Linked DNA regions of Callithrix jacchus. The protein of the gene in region 3 binds, or shares a complex with, the protein of the main gene of each other region. Links are inferred from orthologs where the notes say so. Each region holds a gene or a part of one and is shown on either strand. Other genes may lie near its edges.

Region 1 (4,019 bases), on a different chromosome or scaffold from region 3:
AATATGGGTGGGTAAGACAGGAGTGTCTGGTCACACCCCTCCACCACCCATGAGCATGGTTGTGGGCAGTTTGGTTCCCCAGGTGGCCTTGGGGAATGCAGTGAGCCAAGGACTGGTCATCTTCAGATGCATCCAGGGCAGGAAAGGCTGACAGCATGCATGAGCCAGGGTCACTGGCTAAGAAGTCATCTTAGGACCTCCTGAAAAAAAGAACTGGGCATGAACATCCCTGCTGGTTTCCCCACACTGCAAGGTTAAGCGGAGCTGGCAGAGGGTCATGGTCCCACATGTGTCTCACGTCTGGTGCTCTGAACTTGGCAAGGAAATGCAACCCATGCGAATCTCAACAGGCAGTGAAGCCACGTTCCTTTCTGACTCCAGGTAGGATGGAGACAATGGGACAGCAGTACGGGGCCATAACCGCACAACTCCGCTTCCCCAGACGGAGAGCTTGTGGGATGTGAGGATGCCAGGAGGAGGTGAGGAAGGGCGGCCTCCTGTGGGACCTGCAGGGTGGGACAGGCCCAAGAGGTCTGTACATCCAGGCCTGGTTGGGGAGGTGAGCCCCTGGTTTACCGAGGGGGTCCCTTCCTGCCCTCGGAAATAATGCAGCCCCTACCTCCACCCCCGCCCCGCTGCGGGGTCCCAGGGGCGGTGAGGGTGGGAGAGTCCCCAGGCTCCAGTCAGACGACTGCATTCAAGCAAGTGAGAACCTCTGTGAGCCTGTTTCGCAACTGTAAAATGGGGATCGCAGCAGTACTCTTCCTCGCGGTTTGCATGAAGAACACAATTCGATGTCGACAGGCGGGCGCGGCGCCCAGCGCGCAGAGTAGCAGGCGCTGAAGAAGGATACTGGTGAACTGGGGGTGGTGATGGAGGCTACGCGGCCGGAGTCCCGGGACTGGGCGCCAGCCATGCCAGTCCCTGCTCGGGGCTGGATGGTCGGGGGAATGTTCTCGTAAGTCAGCTGGGAAGGGGCGGCCCGGCGTACCCTGAGGCCGCCGCCGCAGAGAGTCGAGCAGGTGCCGGGGCCTCTGCCCCTCCGAGAGGGGGCCGGTCATCCGCCGGGACTGACACCCCGGAGGCCCAATGGCAAGCCGTCATCTTTGCGCACCCGTCCAATCGGCGCCTATTGCCGTGCCGCGCCGGGTCTCTCGACCAATGGGAAAATTTGCGGTTGGATGGGGCGGGGCGAAGATCCGTGTCGCCGGCCCGGTTCGCTTTGCACACGGGCCGCGTGAGGGCGGGAGGGCTGGCCCGGGGTCTCGGCCTGCGCTCTGGGCCCGGAGGGAGGGGGCGGCCCCGCACCGGTTCCCGCACCTGCCCGAGTTGCGGCCTCGGGGACGGTGACCCGCGCCGTGCCTGGGAACGCCGCTCCCTTCGCGCTGAGGGACCCGGGGACGCCCGTCTGGGGACTGGGGCCGCGCTGCGGAGCCGCCCACGCTGCGCTCCAGGTAAGCTCGAGCCAGTGGGCGGGGTGCCGGGCTCGAGGCTGGGACCGCAGGTCAGAGCCCGGACTGGGGGCGGGGCCGTAGATCTGGGCCGCGTTCCCGGCAGCGGTCCGGACTGGGTCCTGTCCCCGGAGTCGAGATCCGGGCGAGGATCTGGGCCCGGCGTTGGAGCCCGTCTCCGCCCCATCCGCGTCTTGCCCGAGCGCGCTGCGGCGCCTGAGACCCCGGGCCGGCGGAGGCGGGTCCCTTTGTGCGCGGCCTCGGGGCCCTACGGGACCCGGCCCGGCGCCTCGCACCGCGCGCCTCAGCTGAACGCGGCCCGACACCGCAGCCTTGTCAGCCCGGCGCGACGCCTGGCACCTAGCTGCCAGGGCTCCGCAGCCACGGAAACTTTCCAACGGCCCGAGGGGCGGCAGGCCGGGAACTTTCCTGGGGCAGCGGGACGCCGGGAAGCGCAGAGGCACCGACGGCCTGGAGGGATGTCCCTGCACCGCGCTGCTCCCGCCGCCTAGGGGGCGAGCTAGGACACGCCACCCGGATCCCCGGCCTGGGTCCCCTTCCCCACGTCGCCCTGCGCCCCCTCGGGGCCCGTGCAGAGACAAGTCTTCTCTATTCTGATGGATCCTCAATTCAGTTTGCTCTAGAGTCGCCCTGGGCAGGTCGCCTGAGATCTCCAGCCTTTCATTTTAAATTTTAAATAATTAAATATTGTTTGCTTACAATATTTCACTGTTTCTTAGCTATGTGTAACGTAACGTACTGAAAATGGAACTAAGGGACTTCAGCTCCCTTTCTCTGCACATCCAGGCATATTTAGAAATAAGGAAAAGAAAGATGCCCTGTGGGTATGTTTTAGAGTAGGCTCTTAACGCTGTGTCTGATAACCTCAAGCGGGTACCCAGGCTGTTGTGGGGAAACCTCCACCTCTCCCGACCCCAGCTTTTCTGGGGTAGCTGCCTTTCCTTCTTCCCACTTCATTACTACTGCCTTATTTGTCTTTACTCTGGGGTCCAAGCTGTGGTTAGAGGTCCGGTCCAAACAGGACGGGTGCTACCTGTCTTGTACTCACTGTGTTGGAGCTGGGATGGTGCTGAATGCAGGGGGCAGTCAGTGCTCTCTTGCCCAGTGTGCCATGTCAGTAGTTGGTTAGTTCCTGAGCAGGTGATCCTGGCCCTAGGTCAGGCCACAGTGTGAGCCATGGTGTGTCTGGGAAGGCCTACACTTTACTCCCAATCTTGCTTCATCCTGTCCACAGTGTCTGCTCCTGCTGTCCCCTGACCTCACCCCACTCTCATTCTGGGGTCCACTAGGGCCCAGTAGAGGACTGGGCATAGAACATTCGCTGAGGAACTCAAGTCCCAGCTGAGAGGGTCGTTGAGCACAGCCAAGCCAGCCCCTGCCCAGCTCTTGGCCAAGCTGCCCTGTCAGGCTTTTCTGCATAAACATGAGGAACTCCTGACCAAGGTCCCTCCTGGGTGAACAAGGTCAGGCCATCAGCCCTCCTAAATTCGAGCTTCCCCCACCACATCTGGGCTGCTTGGCTCCCATGTTCGCTCTGGCACCCCCTCCAGAGGTGGCCTTGCAGTCTCCTCCCAGTCCCAGGGGCCTCTCTGCATCTCTGTGGCTCTGTGGGGGTAGGTAGGGTAGCATCCCTCTTCCTGTTTATGCTACACAGGGTGAATTCACTGTGTTCCTTCACCCCAGGAGTCTGGCCTGAGGTAGCATGAGGCTGTCCTGAGTGAGGACAGGAGGAGCAGGGGCAGCAGGATCCCCAGTCTCTGTGCATGGATGCCAGGCACCACCCTCTGTCTACCCCATCTGTTGTGTTCCCCGCCTGGCCCTGGCAGAGGGAGGGACAGGGTAGAGCTGGGATAGGGAGTCAGGGCCCACTCTGTAGATAGGGCTGGGAATGGAGGGTGGGGGTCCCGGCACAGCTCTGCACTGCAGGGCACTAGGTGGGCCTCAGGGGTGTTGGGGACTTCCCTAACGGTGGCTTAGTCAGGCAAAGCATCTGTTATTTTGCCACCAGCTTTCAATCAAGATCAGTGAGGCTGGGTGCAGTGGCTCACACTTGTAATCCCAGCACTTTGGGAGGCCAAGGAGGGTGGATCATCTGAGGTCTGGAGTTTGACACTACCCTGGCCAACATGGCAAAACCCCGTCTCTACTAAAAATACAAAACTTAGCTGGGTGTGGTGGCACATGCCTGTAACCCTAGCTACTCAGGAGACCGAGGCAGGAGAACTGATTGAACTGTGGAGACGGGGTTGCAGTGAACTGAGATTGCACCACTACACTCCCACCTGGGCAATAGAGTGAGACTCTGTCTCAATAAAACAAACCAGGATGGGCCGGTCGTAGTGTCTCACACCTGTCATCCCAGCACTTTGGGAGACCTAGGCGGGCAGATCACCTGAGGTCAGTACTTTGAGACCAGCCTGACCAACATGGTGAAACCCTGTTTCTACTAAAAATAAAAAAAAAATTAGCTGGGCCTGGTGGTGCATGCCTGTAATCCCAGCTACTGGGGAGACTGAGGCAGGAGAATCACCTGAACCCAGGAGACAG
Region 2 (4,151 bases), on a different chromosome or scaffold from region 3:
CACCAATACATTGGAACTCTATTATTTTGCTTTCATTTTGTCTTAAAAAAATGAAATAGCAACGCTCTATCAGTCACACAGAGGACATGCAGATTTAGCAGTATTGATATTATACTCTATCTTGTTGGATTTAAAGACACCCTCTACCCACATGTACACCAACAGCAGGTCACACATTAACAGTTGTAACTAAGCACTGCGACAAATTAGCCAGTTCTTCCCACATTAGTCCCTATTATAACAAAAATGGGGGGAAGGGAGCAAAATAAGTTGCTACAAAATGGGCAACATAATTTTGCCACAATTGCCAAGGTTTAAAAGGTAAAGCAATTGTAGCTAAAGGTAACTGAATAAAACATTCAAGTGTTTTAAGGAAAATGTATATAATCATTTTTACCCCCCTGCCTTTTAGTATAAGGTCAATACTGCCAATTTCATCTGTGACAATAGCACTTGGAGTCATACCATTGCCTCCATTATTGATCTGATCCTCCTCAATCCTCCTTTTGACAATCCTAAAATGATTGAAATGTGCTCCACAATCCTTAATCCAAAGCATTCTTAATCCATCTCTTCAGATATGTCTACAGAAAGACACATGAAAAGCAAGATAAACATAAGAACTTCCCCAGGTAAGATAACCATAAACATCCCCAACATCCCAGTTCACACAAATCAGGGCAAAATAGACATTTACACAATATCACAGTCTGAAGAGTATGGAGTTAACTAAATTTAAACAATCCTGTCTATGACATCACTTAAAATACAATTTATCGAAGACACGAGGGGAATGTAGATGTTAGGAGCAAAGGGATATTACAAGAATGCAATTCAACACTTTAGCCCATTCTGAACAAAACAGTTTGAATTAAAAAATGAAAAGATTGTACTGAATAAAGGAAAACTGTATACAACATGGGTTCTACAAAAAGTGTCACCAATCATCTTATGTACGAGAGCGAGATCTGCTATGACGGGGAGAATAGCGTGGTGATCCTCTGCTTCTCCTTGGGGAGTAACTGCGACTCCTGCTGTTGCTTCTGCTACGGCTTCTGCTACGACTACGGCTTCGAGATCGAGATCTTCCATAACTTGGACTTCTGGGCCCATCAACTTTAACCCGGATGTAGGCAGTTTCTCCCTATTGGATAGACAGAACTTTCCATTGAAAGATCTAAGCTTTCACCTAGCTTCAGGCATGCTGAATGAATACAATGTAACTAAAACCAGAAATCTGGCAATTTACTTGGACACCCTTGCCTGAATCCTTACCTTCAAATTCCACTGTTAAGACCACTGTATCCAATTCTGGTCAAAAAAAAGAATAAGCATATAACCTACCTCATGGGATCTAAACTTAGTGTTATCCAGTTTTCGAACTGCATAGGTCATATCTTCTTTCCGTACAAACTCCACGACACCAGTGCCATCTCGGTAAACATCAGCATAACATACATCACCTGCTTCACGCATGTGATCCTTTAAATCCTGCCAACTTCCACTTGGAGGCAGTCCTGAAAAAGCGATTTTTTTTCTTAGTATCAATTATCTTAAATTTCACGTTAAGCTGATAAGGTACATTAGGACAAAGAGTACTTTAAAATACTTAATAGTTGTACTTAAGTGATACCAGGTAAAGAGCTGGTAAGATTCTGGAATCCAGAGTCCAAAATTATTTGTAACGGATCTTCGTATCTAGTACCGCAACCTAATTTGGTAAATCACCACAGCAGCAATCCTCGTTTATTAAATTCACCCAAAAACTAAAGCAATTTAAGACCTAGCATGAAAAATTTGCAATTGTTAAACCGGTCACGCAAGAGAAAATTTTTAAGTAGTTTCCGTCCCTTCACATCAACCACACAACCGGTAGACTTACCAGAGACAACCACTCTGTTTTCAGACCGCCTGGATGGGGGGCCATAGCGACCTCGGGGAGCTCCGCCACCTCCACCCCCGCCGCCTCCTCGGCCTGTTCCACGGCCGCTTCGAGGAAACTCCACCCGCAGACGATATCCATCGTAATCATAGCCGTCGCGACCATACACCGCGTCTTCCGCGTCCCTGCGGGATCGTAGACAGTAAAAGGCATGAGAAAGACCAGGAGGAGAAGATCGCTCAGTCGGGAACCAGCGAACCCCCCGCACATGCGCACCCAACGTGGAAGAGCCCACATGCGCCGCATAATGGGAATGACCCCTCCCCCACCCAGAAACACGCCAGGCTCCCAGCCACTACACCAGCCCTCAGCGCCTCAGTTTCCCGCTCCAGCCTGCGAATGGGCTCCGGGGACGTCCAAGGCGAGGCGCCAGAGAAGCCACACCAACTCAGCTCCTCACTCGACTCCTGCATGGGCGATACAGTCTCGCCCCATCCTCTCTAAGAGCCCCCGCCTTCCCGTTCTCTATATTAAGGCCTTGGAGTCTTCCCCGACCACTCGGACCTATTTCCTCAAGGCTGCAAGCCCCATGCCGCCTCACCGCGGGTCCTCGAACTCAACGAAGGCGAAGGGCGGTCCCCCGCGGCGATTCTTGAGATCGATGTCGCGGATAGCGCCGTATTTGTAGAACACGTCCTCAATGTCCTTGGTTCGGATGTCTGGAGGTAAGTTACCCACGTAAATGCGGCAATCGTTGTTCCCTGCGGGGCCACGAATCACACCACCTCCCGACATGGCGGCGACGAAAAACGTGGACTCGAGAACGGGCCTTCCCACCAAGCCTAGCGCACGGCAGAGCAAGCCCGCAGCGGCACCACGTCTCCCGCGGCCCCTCCAAAATGGCGCCTTTATCAGTTCGGCGCACGGATATGGGGGGGGGGGGAGACAGAGGAAGAGAAGCGGAAGGAAACAGCGATTCGATCCCAACACGCACGCGCTGCGAAGACTACGTTCAACGTACGCGCGCGCACGCACGCGCGACGTCACCCTCCGCACGAAGGGGGAAAAAAAGTCCCCCGCGTTCCCGGCTTGGGGTGGTTTGCGAATAGAGTGGCCGTTTGGTAAAAGTTAAATAAAGAACTCTCTCTAAAGGAGCTAGTCTTCCAGGTCGGGTCTTGAAGGACAGTCAGTTTCCCCAGGAATGAGGATCTCTGAAAGCAACTCGGCGCCTTGAAAGGACTTGGTGAAACCTAGCCTAGAGCCTTGTCCCACCATGCTCTGCGGCGATAACGGCCTTTGGCGGGAAGGAGTCTCGGGGGCGGGGCCAAAGGGGGAGGGACCGGGCGGTTGCTCCGGAAACCCAGGCATCCTTGTAGAGTGCGTCTAGTTCAGAGCTGAGGTGCCATTGGAGAGCTGGGGCGTTGGTTTGTCTTCCCTCTCCTCCTGCGAACAGGGCGTGGCTCCTTAGACAATGAGATTTGTCTAATTTAGCAAAACCGATTTCGATTCCTAAATAAATCCTCTTCACTAAGTACCGTTCCACCTTCTGGTCAGAACTTTGCATAGCTTAGTTCAGCACTCCTTGTGCTTAGTCGCGGTGGGTAGGTCGTACTAGCTATCCGGAAGGGGTGAAAACACCGTACCGCCTCTGGGACCCACACCTCTGTATCTCTTGTTAGTCGCCTATCCGTGGGACTGGCGCAAAAGATTTGCAAATTTGTTTCCGTTGTTTCCTTTCAAATAAAGAGAAGGAAGAAGGGGTGCGTGTGTGCAGTTTTCCCTAAAAGTTACTGATATACCAGGTTTTGAAACTACCAGTCCTCTCAGGTAATAAAATGGAGCGAAATGGATGTGAGAACCGTAACCACTAGAGACCGCGGTTGCTACTCAGGACTGTGATCTACTTGCCTGCAGTCTTGGGAGATAATATTTTACATTTTTTTCCGACGTCTAAAATCTAGATTTTTTATGTTAAATCCAGGGATTTTTAAGGTAATGAATTCAAATTAAAATCAGGCTGGGCGTGGTAGCTCACGCCAGCACTTTGATGGGCGGGTCACATTGAGGTCAGTAGTTCAAGACCAGCTTGGCCAACATGGTGAAAACCAATCGCGGTGGCTCACGCCTGTAATCCCAGCACTTTGGGAGGCCGAGGCGGGTGGATCACGAGGTCAAGAGATCGAGACCATCCTAGTCAACATGGTGAAACCCCGTCTCTACTAAAAAATACAAAAAATGAGCTGGGCATGGTGGCACGTGCCTGTAATCC
Region 3 (7,244 bases):
TCCACTGTTCTCAAAAACGAGTTTGCTCCCACATCATCTTTTATTTATTTACATATATATGCATGCTAATCTTTTAATATAAGTAGAATCATACTATGTATATTCTTTAATATATTTTGGAGATCTTTCTGGGTCAGGGCAGATAGTTTTTTTTTTTTTTTAATGGCTACATTGCATTGTTTTAAGGATAAAGTATAATTCATTCAGCCATTCCTCTAATGATGGCTATTTAGGTTCCCCATTTTTCCCCATTACTAACAGTGCTGCAAGGAACATTTGTAAGTATTTCTGTTGACTAGATTCCTGGAAGGATTCTAGCCATGTCAAAGGCTATGGAAACATGTATTTTTTACATAGTTGAGATTGTAAAGCAGCTGTGCTCTTGGGTCACTTACAGTTATACCATAAGTAATTTCTCATGTTATTAAATATTTTTGTAACTTTTAAAATATGTGATATTCCAGTTTTTTTTAATAAAGTACTTTTCATAGAATATATTGCTCCATAAATCTTTGTCTGAGTTTCATATCATCTCCTTAGGGCACATAACTGAAATGTATTTGCTGTCAAAAGGTGTCATACATATTATCAAATTGCTTTCAGAATATAGTGGGATTTATCAAAAAGGAAATAGTTTATATCAATTGTAACTCCTCTAGTAGTGTATTAGTTTGTGAACCCTGGGTAGCACTGATTTACGGTCACTGTTTAATTTCCATTATCTTGATGGGTGAAAAATAAGGATTAGTTCTGGTTTTAACTTGCTGGAAATTGATGAAATTTGAATATTTCCAGATAACTCTCCTGTATCCTCCTATACCTATATTCTCCCATACTTAATCTGTTATCAAGTCCCACAGATTCCACTTTTTTTCAGTATGTGTGGATCATATCTTTTCTCCATTTTACTCCTGTTGCTTAGACAATTCCTTTAACATATCTTTAAGAGACTAGTTTTTTTTTTGAGACCTTTTGCATTGAAAGAGACGAGTTCTAACTAATTAATCTCAGTAGTTTCACCTCAACCCCCTTCTGTTTTAGTGCCACACTGTTGCCAGGGTGATCTGCCTGAAAGGGTTTTGGTGAAGTCACCCCACATACTCCCCAGTTTAAAAGTCTTAAAAGGTGTTTAGTGTTTGTATATGAAAGTCTTTGGGATCTGATCTATGCCTTGCCAGCCTTTTCTCTTGCTTTTCCCTCTCCTGATTGTGCTTCATCATAATATAAAAAATTTTGTTTATGGATCCCTAGACAGGTTAGTCTGTTTCATTTAACCATTTGGCCTCCAAACAATAGAACTGATCAACTGCTCCCTCCTTAATACTGTGCTTACACCTCACCCAGAGGGTCATGGCAATTATAATGTCTATTTGCATTTATGTCTTTAATAATTACATACAATCCCCCTGTAGGACCATAAGCCCTTTGTGGGCTTATTGATTCTTGTATGCTAGAGCCGAGTATTGGACTTGGCAACTACAAGATGTTTCTAAAATGAATGTGTGAATTCCCAATAATGTCTTTTTTTCATTTATCTCTGAAGCCTAAATATATCCCTGATTTTATTGATTTGCCTACATTTTTATATAAGGATATTATATAAAGAACTTATATAACTTGTGTTTTGTGTTTTAATTATTGTTTAATCTTTTGATCTAGTGAAGTTTTTTATGTTTATATATTCAGATATAGCCATCTTTTATTTGTTGACATCTCCCATTTATTTGTTGCTGTTAATTTTTTTTTTTTTTTTTGAGATGGGATTTTGCCCTGGTTGCCTAGGCTGGAGCGCAGTGGTGTGATCTTGGCTCACTGCAACCTCTGCCTCCTGGGTACAAGCAATTTTCCTGCCTCAGCCTCCTGAGTAGCCGGGATTACAGGTGCCCACCACTATGCCCAGCTAATTGTATCTTTAGTAGAGATGAGGTTTCACCACATTGACTAGGCTGGTCTCAAACTACTGACCTCAGGTGATCCACCTGCCTCGGCCTCCCAAAGTGCTGGGATTACAGATGTGAGCCACGGTGCCTGGCCAATTGCTGTTAATTTTTAATGGTATCCAACACGTAATAGGCATTGAATAAATAACTGTTAAAAAATGAATGAGTTAAAAATTTGGTGAATTCTTTTTTGTTTATACAGATGTCTTACAGCAAAGCTGTCAGCATAATTGAGTTTTCTATTAATAGTTTGCTTTTCTCTTTTACTGTATTAGCATTTTTCCATGACAGTAGTCTTCTAATTTTTTTTTTCCAGCTACACCAAAATTGTGTTGAGCCAAACTTGCCACCAAGAGCCCAACAGTCACCATGATGCTGAGCACAGAAGGCAGGGAGGGGTTCGTGGTGAAGGTCAGGGGCCTACCCTGGTCCTGCTCAGCTGATGAAGTGATGCGCTTCTTCTCTGATTGCAAGATCCAAAATGGCACATCAGGTATTCGTTTCATCTACACCAGAGAAGGAAGACCAAGTGGCGAAGCATTTGTTGAACTTGAATCTGAAGAGGAAGTGAAATTGGCTTTGAAGAAGGACAGAGAAACCATGGGACACAGATACGTTGAAGTATTCAAGTCTAACAGTGTTGAAATGGATTGGGTGTTGAAGCATACAGGTCCGAATAGCCCTGATACTGCCAACGATGGCTTCGTCCGGCTTAGAGGACTCCCATTTGGCTGTAGCAAGGAAGAGATCGTTCAGTTCTTTTCAGGGTTGGAAATTGTGCCAAATGGGATGACACTGCCAGTGGACTTTCAGGGGCGAAGCACAGGGGAAGCCTTTGTGCAGTTTGCTTCGCAGGAGATAGCTGAGAAGGCCTTAAAGAAACACAAGGAAAGAATAGGGCACAGGTACATTGAGATCTTCAAGAGTAGCCGAGCTGAAGTTCGAACCCACTATGATCCCCCTCGAAAGCTCATGGCTATGCAGCGGCCAGGTCCCTATGATAGGCCAGGGGCTGGCAGAGGGTATAATAGCATTGGCAGAGGAGCTGGGTTTGAAAGGATGAGGCGTGGTGCCTATGGTGGAGGGTATGGAGGCTATGATGACTATGGTGGCTATAATGATGGATATGGCTTTGGGTCAGATAGATTTGGAAGAGACCTCAATTACTGTTTTTCAGGAATGTCTGATCATAGATATGGAGATGGTGGGTCCAGTTTCCAGAGCACCACAGGGCACTGTGTACACATGAGGGGGTTACCTTACAGAGCCACTGAGAATGATATTTATAATTTCTTCTCACCTCTTAATCCCATGAGAGTACATATTGAAATTGGACCCGATGGCAGAGTTACTGGTGAGGCAGATGTTGAATTTGCTACTCATGAAGATGCTGTGGCAGCTATGGCAAAAGACAAGGCTAATATGCAACACAGATATGTGGAGCTCTTCCTAAATTCTACTGCAGGAACAAGTGGAGGGGCTTATGATCACAGCTATGTAGAACTGTTTTTGAATTCTACAGCAGGGGCAAGTGGTGGCGCTTATGGTAGCCAAATGATGGGAGGGATGGGCTTATCCAACCAGTCTAGTTATGGCGGTCCTGCTAGCCAGCAGCTGAGTGGTGGTTATGGAGGTGGTTATGGTGGTCAGAGCAGTATGAGTGGATATGACCAAGTTCTCCAGGAAAACTCCAGTGACTATCAGTCAAACCTTGCTTAGGTAGAGAAGGAGCACTAAACAGCTACTCTAGATATAAAAGCTGTACATTTATGGGAGTTGAATAGAATGGGAGGGATGTCTAGTATATCCAGTATGATTGGCATATGGGAAATATTATTGATACTGATCACTCTTGGTCAGCTTCTCTTTCTTTATCTTTCTCCTTTTTTAAGAAAACAAAAGTTAAGTTTAACAGTTTTGCATTACAGGCTTGTGATTCATGCTTACTGTAAAGTGGGAGTTGAGATTATTTTGAAACTTCAAGTTCAGTAATTTTGAACACTGAAACATTCATCTAGGACATAATAACAAAGTTCAGTATTGACCATAACTGTTTAAACGATTTTTAGCTTTTCTCAAGTTAGTTATGTTGTAGGAGTGTACTTAAGCAGTAAGCTTATTTAGGTTAATGCAGTTTCACTTATGTTAAATGTTGCTCTTATACCACAAATACATTGAAAACTTTGGATGCATGTTGAGAAACATGCTTTTCTGTAAAACTCAAATATAGGAGCTGTGTCTACGATTCAAAGTGAAAACATTTGGCATGTTTGTTAATTCTAGCTTTTTGGTTTAATACTCTGTAAGGCACGTGAGTGTACACTTTTACTTTTTTTTTTTTTAAAGGATACGGGACAATTTTAAGATGTAATACCAATACTTTAGAAGTTTGGTCGTGTCGTTTGTATGAGATTCTGAGGCTTTGGTTTAAATCTTTCCTTGTATTGTGATTTCCATTTAGATGTATTGTACTAAGTGAAACTTGTTAAATAAATCTTCCTTTTAAAAACTGGAAAAAATCTTGCTCTGATTTTTATTATGTTCTGTCATATGGGCACACTGATTTTATAATTCCCTCTTAAAAATTTTAATTTAAAAATTATATTTACATCTTTATATGTTCATTGTTGCATATATCATTAGTTATTTCTAAGATACATCCCTAGAAATGGGATTGCTGAGTCAAGGATATACCCATTTTTAAGGCTTGTGATTTGTGTTACCAGAAAGATTCTGGTACTTTATCTTTCTACCTAGAGGACTGTGTGTTTTATTTTTCCCCCTCATACCCTCCTTATTGATGTACGTTAGTTTTTTTGATCTTTGCCAGTTTGTTAGTTGAGAAATGATATCTTTGCTATTTTAATTTGTATTTCTTTGATTAATATTAAAGTTGAACATTTTCTTTAAAAAAAACTTATTACCATGTCTACAGGACTGTTGAACTACTTTTGGAGACTGTTCTTACCAATATAGTATTCTCTAAAATCCAAAGAAGTGAAAGCAAATAAATAATCCTTTTTATTTCACCACAAACTAGAAGGCACCTTTGTATGTTAAAAAAGAAGTAGGCTTACAATTATTATGTGTTGAAAACAAAACATAAAAATGAAGCAGGCTTATGTTATGGCAATAAATTATCTCTTCCATGAATTTATTAGTAGAGTCTCTAAACACTCCCAGGTGTTTTTTAGGGCATCTAAAGCTTATCTTAAACCAGTGGTTCTCAAAGTTTCATGTGCATCAGAATCATCTGCAGGGCTTACTTAAACATTCATTTATAGGCTGCATCCCTAGAGTTTCCAGTTCAGTAGTTTTGGGATGTTGCTTGAGAATGTGCTGATGCTGCTGGTCTCAAGACCATGTTTTGAGACCCATCACAGTTCCCCAAACAGCAACTTTAAGGAGCAGCTTCCTTTATGATCCCTGATTTCCTCCCCTTTGTTCCTGTAACAAGTAGTTTAAATTTTCTATTAAAGTCTCAATCACGTATTTACAATGCCTCAGACCTCCCAGGATTCTGAGAACCCGTGGTATCATGCTGATATCTTAGATTTCTGTCTGAACCACAGTGGTTATTAACAATTCCACACCTCAGTGACCTTCAGGTCCTGATGTCCCTCTGATCAGTACCAGCTGTACCTTGAACTACAGATCTCTTTGTAGATTTGACCACTTGGGAACTGGATTGCTCTATGTGGGCTGTTTACGGCTTGAGGGCCAGAGAAATGAGATGGGAGGCAAATACCAAGTTGGTATTACCCGACTCCGTTTCATTCAGGAAATGAAAATCAATTCCAAAAACTCATTCAAGCCAAAGGTGCAGTGGGACATGATTTGAGATTCTTTGCTGACTTCTAATTTTTATCACAGCTCTCAGGAGAGCAAGAAATCCATTTTGACTCCTATCGTGTTGAGTCAGTCCTTGTCCTTCAGGAAGCCTTTCTTGGAGGGTAAACAAGTAGGTGTTTTTTGCCTTTCCAGGCTACTCAGTTAATTTTCTAGAAGTTTCTCTGGATCTGGGCAAAGATTCTCAAGTTAGCCACTAGATGGCACCAAATCTCAGGAAACAATAGACGGCTCCTGTGGTCTTAGATGTTGGCTTACTTCGCTGGATAAGAAAACTCAGAAGGTCTCTGAGGAGCAAATGAGAGAACCTGGAGAAGGTCAGTGGTCAGCAATAGAGGTATGCAAAGGGACAGCAGTACAGCTGGTGTGCACATGCGTGTACACACCACCACTTGTGCTCCAACATGCAAATCTAACACTATCCAGGAAAGTTTGCTGGGAGTAGAGCGGGCAGCCCACCAACAACACCCCAAAACACTGAGTCGGGGATTTATTTTCATCTGCGTTTGTCACCCACTTGGCACGATTAGGCAGAAAATTTGCATCCACAATTATCGTGGCCTAAGAGTATCGGATGGCTTCTGCTAGTGGTTCTCAGGGTGTGGTTCCTGGATCAGTAACAGCATGAACCTACACCTCATGCAATACGCAGATTCTTTTTGCGCACCCCCCTGCCCCCTTTCCCCCAACGAGTGAATCAGAAACTGTGGGGGTGGAGCCCAGCAAACTGTATTTTGCTTTTTGTGTTTTTCTGAGACAGGATCTTGCTCTGTTCCCCAGGCTGGAGGGCAGTGGTGTGATCTCGGCTCAGTGCAGCCTTGAAATCCAGGCTCAAGTGATCCTCCCACCTCATCCTCTCAAATAGCTGGGACTACAGGCAAGTGCCACCAAGCCCGGATATTTTTAAAAATTATTTTTGTAGAGACAGGATCTCACTATGTTACCTAGGCTGGCCTGGAACTCCTAGTCTCAAGAGATTCTCCTGTCTCAGCCCCTCAAAGTGTTGGGATAACCAGTGTGAGCCTCTCTCCAGCCAATAAGCTGTGTTTTAACAACTGCTCAGGGTGGTTCTGCAGCAGGAAACTACTGGCTAATGGATGCATGGATTCCGTTATCCACCCATTCATTGATTTCTGCTTTCACTCAGCCAACCCTAAAGGAGGTAATCAAAACAGAGACAATCCCATGTGTAACATGGCATATCTTCTCTGCCTTCTCTACCCAGCCAAGTTAGATGAAAATGCATTGTGAATGTGTTTATAAATCAAGCTCCTTTTCCATCAGGTAGAATTCCTAGCATTGTTAGCAAAAATGAAGATTTTTCCAAGATGGGCCTCCAGGGCTATTGCAAAACAGCTGCTGATGGAATGAAATTCCACTTGCTGTGCCTGATATCAGGCTGGGAGTGTCACAAGAGGCCTTTACAAGCTGCTCCCACACTGACCAAAATTGTCT
Region 4 (4,269 bases), on a different chromosome or scaffold from region 3:
TTCCTGTGCATGTGCTCTTAACTGTAAGTGCCAAGGAAAACTGATTTAAGTCACAGCCCTTGTAAGGGGCAACGTTTCTTGTCTGCACTGAATCAAGTCTAACCCCAACAGCCACATCCTCCTCATATAGGAAGACATCTCATCTCAGGAAGTGGTGGTGGGGGTAGTCAGAAGGAAAAATAACTGGACATCTTTGTGTAAACCATAACCCACGTGCTGTGAATGATCTTTACTCCTTATCTGAGGGCAGATTCACAAGGATTCCCCCAAGATTCACTTTTAGGAGCCATTCTCATCCCAGCAGTAAGAAGCTTCCAGGTAGGATAGAAAGAAGACCCAGTTTCACGCCTCTGTTCCTTTGGATGGGGAACTGAGGGAAAATATCTGTTGTATCACTGAAATGTTTTGTTTTTATACATGTCTGAATAAAAATGCCAAAGTTTTTTTCAGCTTCCTGTCTGTCAAATGAAAACATTTCATATGTTAGATAGATCTCCTCAGCAGAGGACAGTCACCTTTCTGTCTTCTGACAATGCTACTCCGTCCCATGCAGCTTTCTCTAGTCCTATTATTACTTGTATTTCTTTAGAACAAGCATAGCTTATAGTCCTTTGGGGTTTTAGTAGGAATCTACAAAGCAAAAACAATTGAGAATAACAAAAACAAATAACCCACGTGCTTGGGGACTTATAAAAAGCACTATATACGTGTCCGGTCTCCTTCAGAGGCCAAATACTGAAACCTCTACGTGTTTCTGAATTCATTCTTAGAAAAGTCACCAAATCTTTTTATTTTGTTTTTTCACAGTAAGCGCTCTCAACAAACATCTGTCTTTCTGAACACTTCCCTTAAGTGCTCCATCCAGCCTGTTATTGGAACAATGTCATGTTACTTCTTTAAGGAGTCCAGCCTCTAGATTGGGAGGCCTTTAAATGGATGATCCCTCCGGATTCTGGCTGCCCAGTTAGCCCCTGCTCCCAGCACCCTAGGTCTTCTTCCATCTGTCTGCCTCTCCCTATTCTCCCAGCTTCGCAGGACTACTGGACCGGCTGGGCGGGTTTCGCCAGCCGATCGAGGGATCCAAGGAAGGGCGCACCCCGCTTCCCCGCCCTAGGTGTAGACACTGCCCACCCGCCCCGGCTCCACCCTTGCCTCTAAACCTATTTCCCCGCCGTAGCTCCGCCCCTCTCCCCTCGGCCCGCCCCTCTCTGTTACGGGCTCTCGCTCAGAGTTCTCGGTGGAAGTGGTTTTTCCGGGAGAGACCACGCTTCCCCGCAAGCTCCCCAACGGCTCCGCCTTCCCGCCGGAGCCTGACCCTTCCCAGCGTGCCCGGCAATTCCGGCGTGCGAGGCCCTTGGAGGGCAAGGCCCCTGGGCCTGGCTTAGGAGGGCGAGAGGCAGGCTGGGAATTGTAGTTCTCAAGCCCCCGAGGGCGGCTAGAGGCTGGCGGTGAAGAGGACTAGTTGTCCCAGCGTGCCCTGCGCCTCAGCCCGCGCGCTCGCAGCTTCTCGCTCTCGCCAGCTTGCCCGCTCCCTTGCTTGCTCGCGCTTTCGCTCGCCCTCTCCTCGAGGATCTAGGGGACTCTGACCACAGCCTGAGGCTGGGAACGGGGACAGAGGCGGCGGCTCAGGGGAAACCAGGCTGCAGTGGTGGTGGTAGGAAGATGTCGGGCGAGGACGAGCAGCAGGAGCAAACTATCGCCGAGGACCTGGTCGTGACCAAGTATAAGATGGGGGGCGACATCGCCAACCGTGAGTGCGGCCTCAGGGGTCGGGGAATCAAAGCTGACAGGGAAAGGTGCCAGGCTGGCCCCAAAGGGGCTGGAGAGGAGGGGTCATGCGGAGTGAGCTACCGAGGGGTCCGCACCGGTTCTCTGGGGGCGGCGTGGTGGAAAGACCGGGTGTAGCGCCTGGGACCTGAGTGGCCAGGCCCAGGCTGAAGTCTGTGGACGTGTGGGCCGGCGACTGGGATGAGCGCAGAGAGGGACCCCTGGCAGGCTCCGACCCGAGGCCGTTTGTTAGGAGGCAAGACAGGTTTTCTCCTGTTCCAATCCTTCAGTCCCGATTTCTGCTTCATCTGATTCTGGCAGCGGCGAGGCCACCTCGAAAAGGAAGCGCCCAGCTATTGGCGACAGAAGCCCCCCTCTTGTTTTGTCGATTCTCTGGGGCTTCAGGAGCCGAGCCTCTCGCACGTGTTGCTGGGTCCCCTTGCGGATGGCTGGCCCCCTTCTTCCTCCACTACTGTCCCTGACACCAGCTTCCTTGCCACGTGCTTTGCTGGAGCCTTTCCTTTACTTCAGCTCTTACCCTGGTGGGGGCCCCCTTCTACCCTTGGACCAGCTAAGGGATCCGTTGGAGGGCACTCCGGGAGCTTCTAACCAAAGTCTTGGAGATATATATGGCTTTTCTTGAAGTTACTCATTACTACCACCTTTCCAATCTGTGCAGATAGCCTTAGTTAGCATTCACATTTGTTGTTCTCAGTGACTTGACAACTCAAATGTTTTGGAGTCCCCGTCTTATCCCAACTAGGCAAGCTTGCAAACAGTACTGGAAAAGAGAGGACTGATTTTAGGATTGTCACAAGTCATCTTTATTCAAGCTGTGCTCTGACGATCTCAGCAGTAGCCTGTCACTGTAGGCAGATGTCACTTTCTCTTTTCTCTCTTTCCAATTCGCCTTTCCATTTTACTTAAAACTCAGGGAGATAGAAACTGCTTGTCCGTGGGCTTTTAAATGTTTTTTGGGGTGTGTGTGTGTGTGTGGTTTTTTGGTTTTTGTTGTTGTTGTTTTTTGAGACAGAGTTTCACTCTTGTTGCCCAGGCTGGAGTGCAATGGCGCAGTCTTGGCTCACTGCAACCTCCGCCTCCTGGGTTCAAGCGATTCTCCTGCCTTAGCCTCACAACAGCTGGGATTACTGGAGCATGTCCTTATGCCTAGCTTGTTTTTTGTATTTTTAGTGGAGACCGGGTTTCACCATGTTGGCCAGGCCGGTCTTGAACTCCTGACCTCAGGTATCCGCACACGTTGGCCTCCCAAAGTGCCTGGACTGCAGGTGTGAGCCACTGTGCCCAGCTTTTAAATGGTTTTAACAGCAAAGATGGTGGGGAAGCGGTATTTAGGATGCCTCCGGTCCTGTGGGTGAAAATCTGAGTTTTTACCAGCTTTCAAAGAATCACCAAAACTGAGATTTCAAAAATCAAACCTGTGCACAGTGGACATTTAGTATAGTACCCTGGTTTTTGGTGCCTGTTAGTATTTGAGATAGTAGTTTGAATCAGAAAGTCTCTTTTTTGCAGTTTATAACTTCAGGCCATTGTGATCTCAGATATAAATTTTGTAAATTTGGCCTCACATCTCTTTGAGATAAGCCATGATCCCCTGAAATGAAACCCAGGGACCTTAGGTTAAGCCCCTTTGGCTTATACTCTTGTTTATGAGGAAATAAGTCTACATAGGTTGAGATTCCTAACACCTAATTAGAATGTCTGAGAAAGGAAGGCGGTAACATTTAATAATGCATCAGCTTCGAGTCTGCAATTCTGTCTACCTTCTTGTTGTCCCTGATGCCTATAAATTTCATCTTGTCTTTGCGTGTATGTGGGCATACCTTGGCAAGAACCCTCTAAAGTTCATAACTCTGTCCTGTCACACCAAAGGTAGCATCTTTGGAAAGTCCAAGGCCTTGCCTAGGAAGATGGATTGTATATACCCACTTGTAACGTAATAAGGAAGGGAAGGGAATGTTGTCCTTTCAGCCTCGGGGCAGTAGCACTAGAGAGTATTACAGACTCCTAAGTCCAGCTTCCAGGTATTCCTTGGGTGGTAACTAGACAATAAATACATACAAGGCTGACATGATGGCATTCTGTCCTCAGGGGTACTTCGGTCCTTGGTGGAAGCATCTAGCTCAGGTGTGTCGGTACTGAGCCTGTGTGAGAAAGGTGATGCCATGATTATGGAAGAAACAGGGAAAATCTTCAAAAAAGAAAAGGAAATGAAGAAAGGTAAAAAAAAAAAAAAAAACCTCACTAATTTCCCATTTGACCCTTATTTAGTTCTATATGTTTTATTTTTTTCATTGTAATGATGCAGTCTCCACTCCAGCTCTGGTTGAGATATTTGAAAATTTGGAATGGCAAATGGGATACAAGCAGTTTTCTTCCTAATCCAAACTGATCAAAGCTTAAGCAAGTCCCTGAAAATATCCTTACACTTTTCTGAAGGGCAACAGGGCTCCCAGGAGAAAGCAAGGCAGTAGGCTGATGATT

What was found.
Region 1: HNRNPH2 (region 3) and ARVCF share a complex: the UniProt entries of both Homo sapiens proteins name them as parts of the ribonucleoprotein complex. The link is inferred for Callithrix jacchus from reciprocal best matches to the Homo sapiens genes HNRNPH2 and ARVCF.
Region 2: HNRNPH2 (region 3) and SRSF1 share a complex: the UniProt entries of both Homo sapiens proteins name them as parts of the ribonucleoprotein complex. The link is inferred for Callithrix jacchus from reciprocal best matches to the Homo sapiens genes HNRNPH2 and SRSF1.
Region 4: HNRNPH2 (region 3) and PA2G4 share a complex: the UniProt entries of both Homo sapiens proteins name them as parts of the ribonucleoprotein complex. The link is inferred for Callithrix jacchus from reciprocal best matches to the Homo sapiens genes HNRNPH2 and PA2G4.

Annotation. Positions count from the first base shown.
Region 1 is NC_133502.1:211,798,184-211,802,202, reverse strand, and holds the start of ARVCF (splicing regulator ARVCF), read left to right. Parts: upstream 1-1,219; 5' UTR 1,220-1,454; intron 1,455-4,019. UniProt on the Homo sapiens protein: Contributes to the regulation of alternative splicing of pre-mRNAs.
Region 2 is NC_133506.1:108,329,410-108,333,560, reverse strand, and holds the start of SRSF1 (serine/arginine-rich splicing factor 1), read right to left. Parts: upstream 2,801-4,151; 5' UTR 2,678-2,800; coding exon 2,484-2,677; exon of another isoform or gene 2,068-2,483; coding exon 1,883-2,067; exon of another isoform or gene 1,518-1,882; coding exon 1,345-1,517; exon of another isoform or gene 1,145-1,344; coding exon 958-1,144; exon of another isoform or gene 585-957; coding exon 562-584; coding exon of another isoform or gene 546-561; 3' UTR 1-545. UniProt on the Homo sapiens protein: Plays a role in preventing exon skipping, ensuring the accuracy of splicing and regulating alternative splicing.
Region 3 is NC_133524.1:97,711,286-97,718,529, forward strand, and holds the end of HNRNPH2 (heterogeneous nuclear ribonucleoprotein H2), read left to right. Parts: intron 1-2,256; 5' UTR 2,257-2,309; coding exon 2,310-3,659; 3' UTR 3,660-4,459; downstream 4,460-7,244. UniProt on the Homo sapiens protein: This protein is a component of the heterogeneous nuclear ribonucleoprotein (hnRNP) complexes which provide the substrate for the processing events that pre-mRNAs undergo before becoming functional, translatable mRNAs in the cytoplasm. Binds poly(RG).
Region 4 is NC_133510.1:63,563,934-63,568,202, reverse strand, and holds the start of PA2G4 (proliferation-associated protein 2G4), read left to right. Parts: upstream 1-1,469; 5' UTR 1,470-1,662; coding exon 1,663-1,750; intron 1,751-3,876; coding exon 3,877-4,005; intron 4,006-4,269. UniProt on the Homo sapiens protein: May play a role in a ERBB3-regulated signal transduction pathway. Seems be involved in growth regulation. Acts a corepressor of the androgen receptor (AR) and is regulated by the ERBB3 ligand neuregulin-1/heregulin (HRG).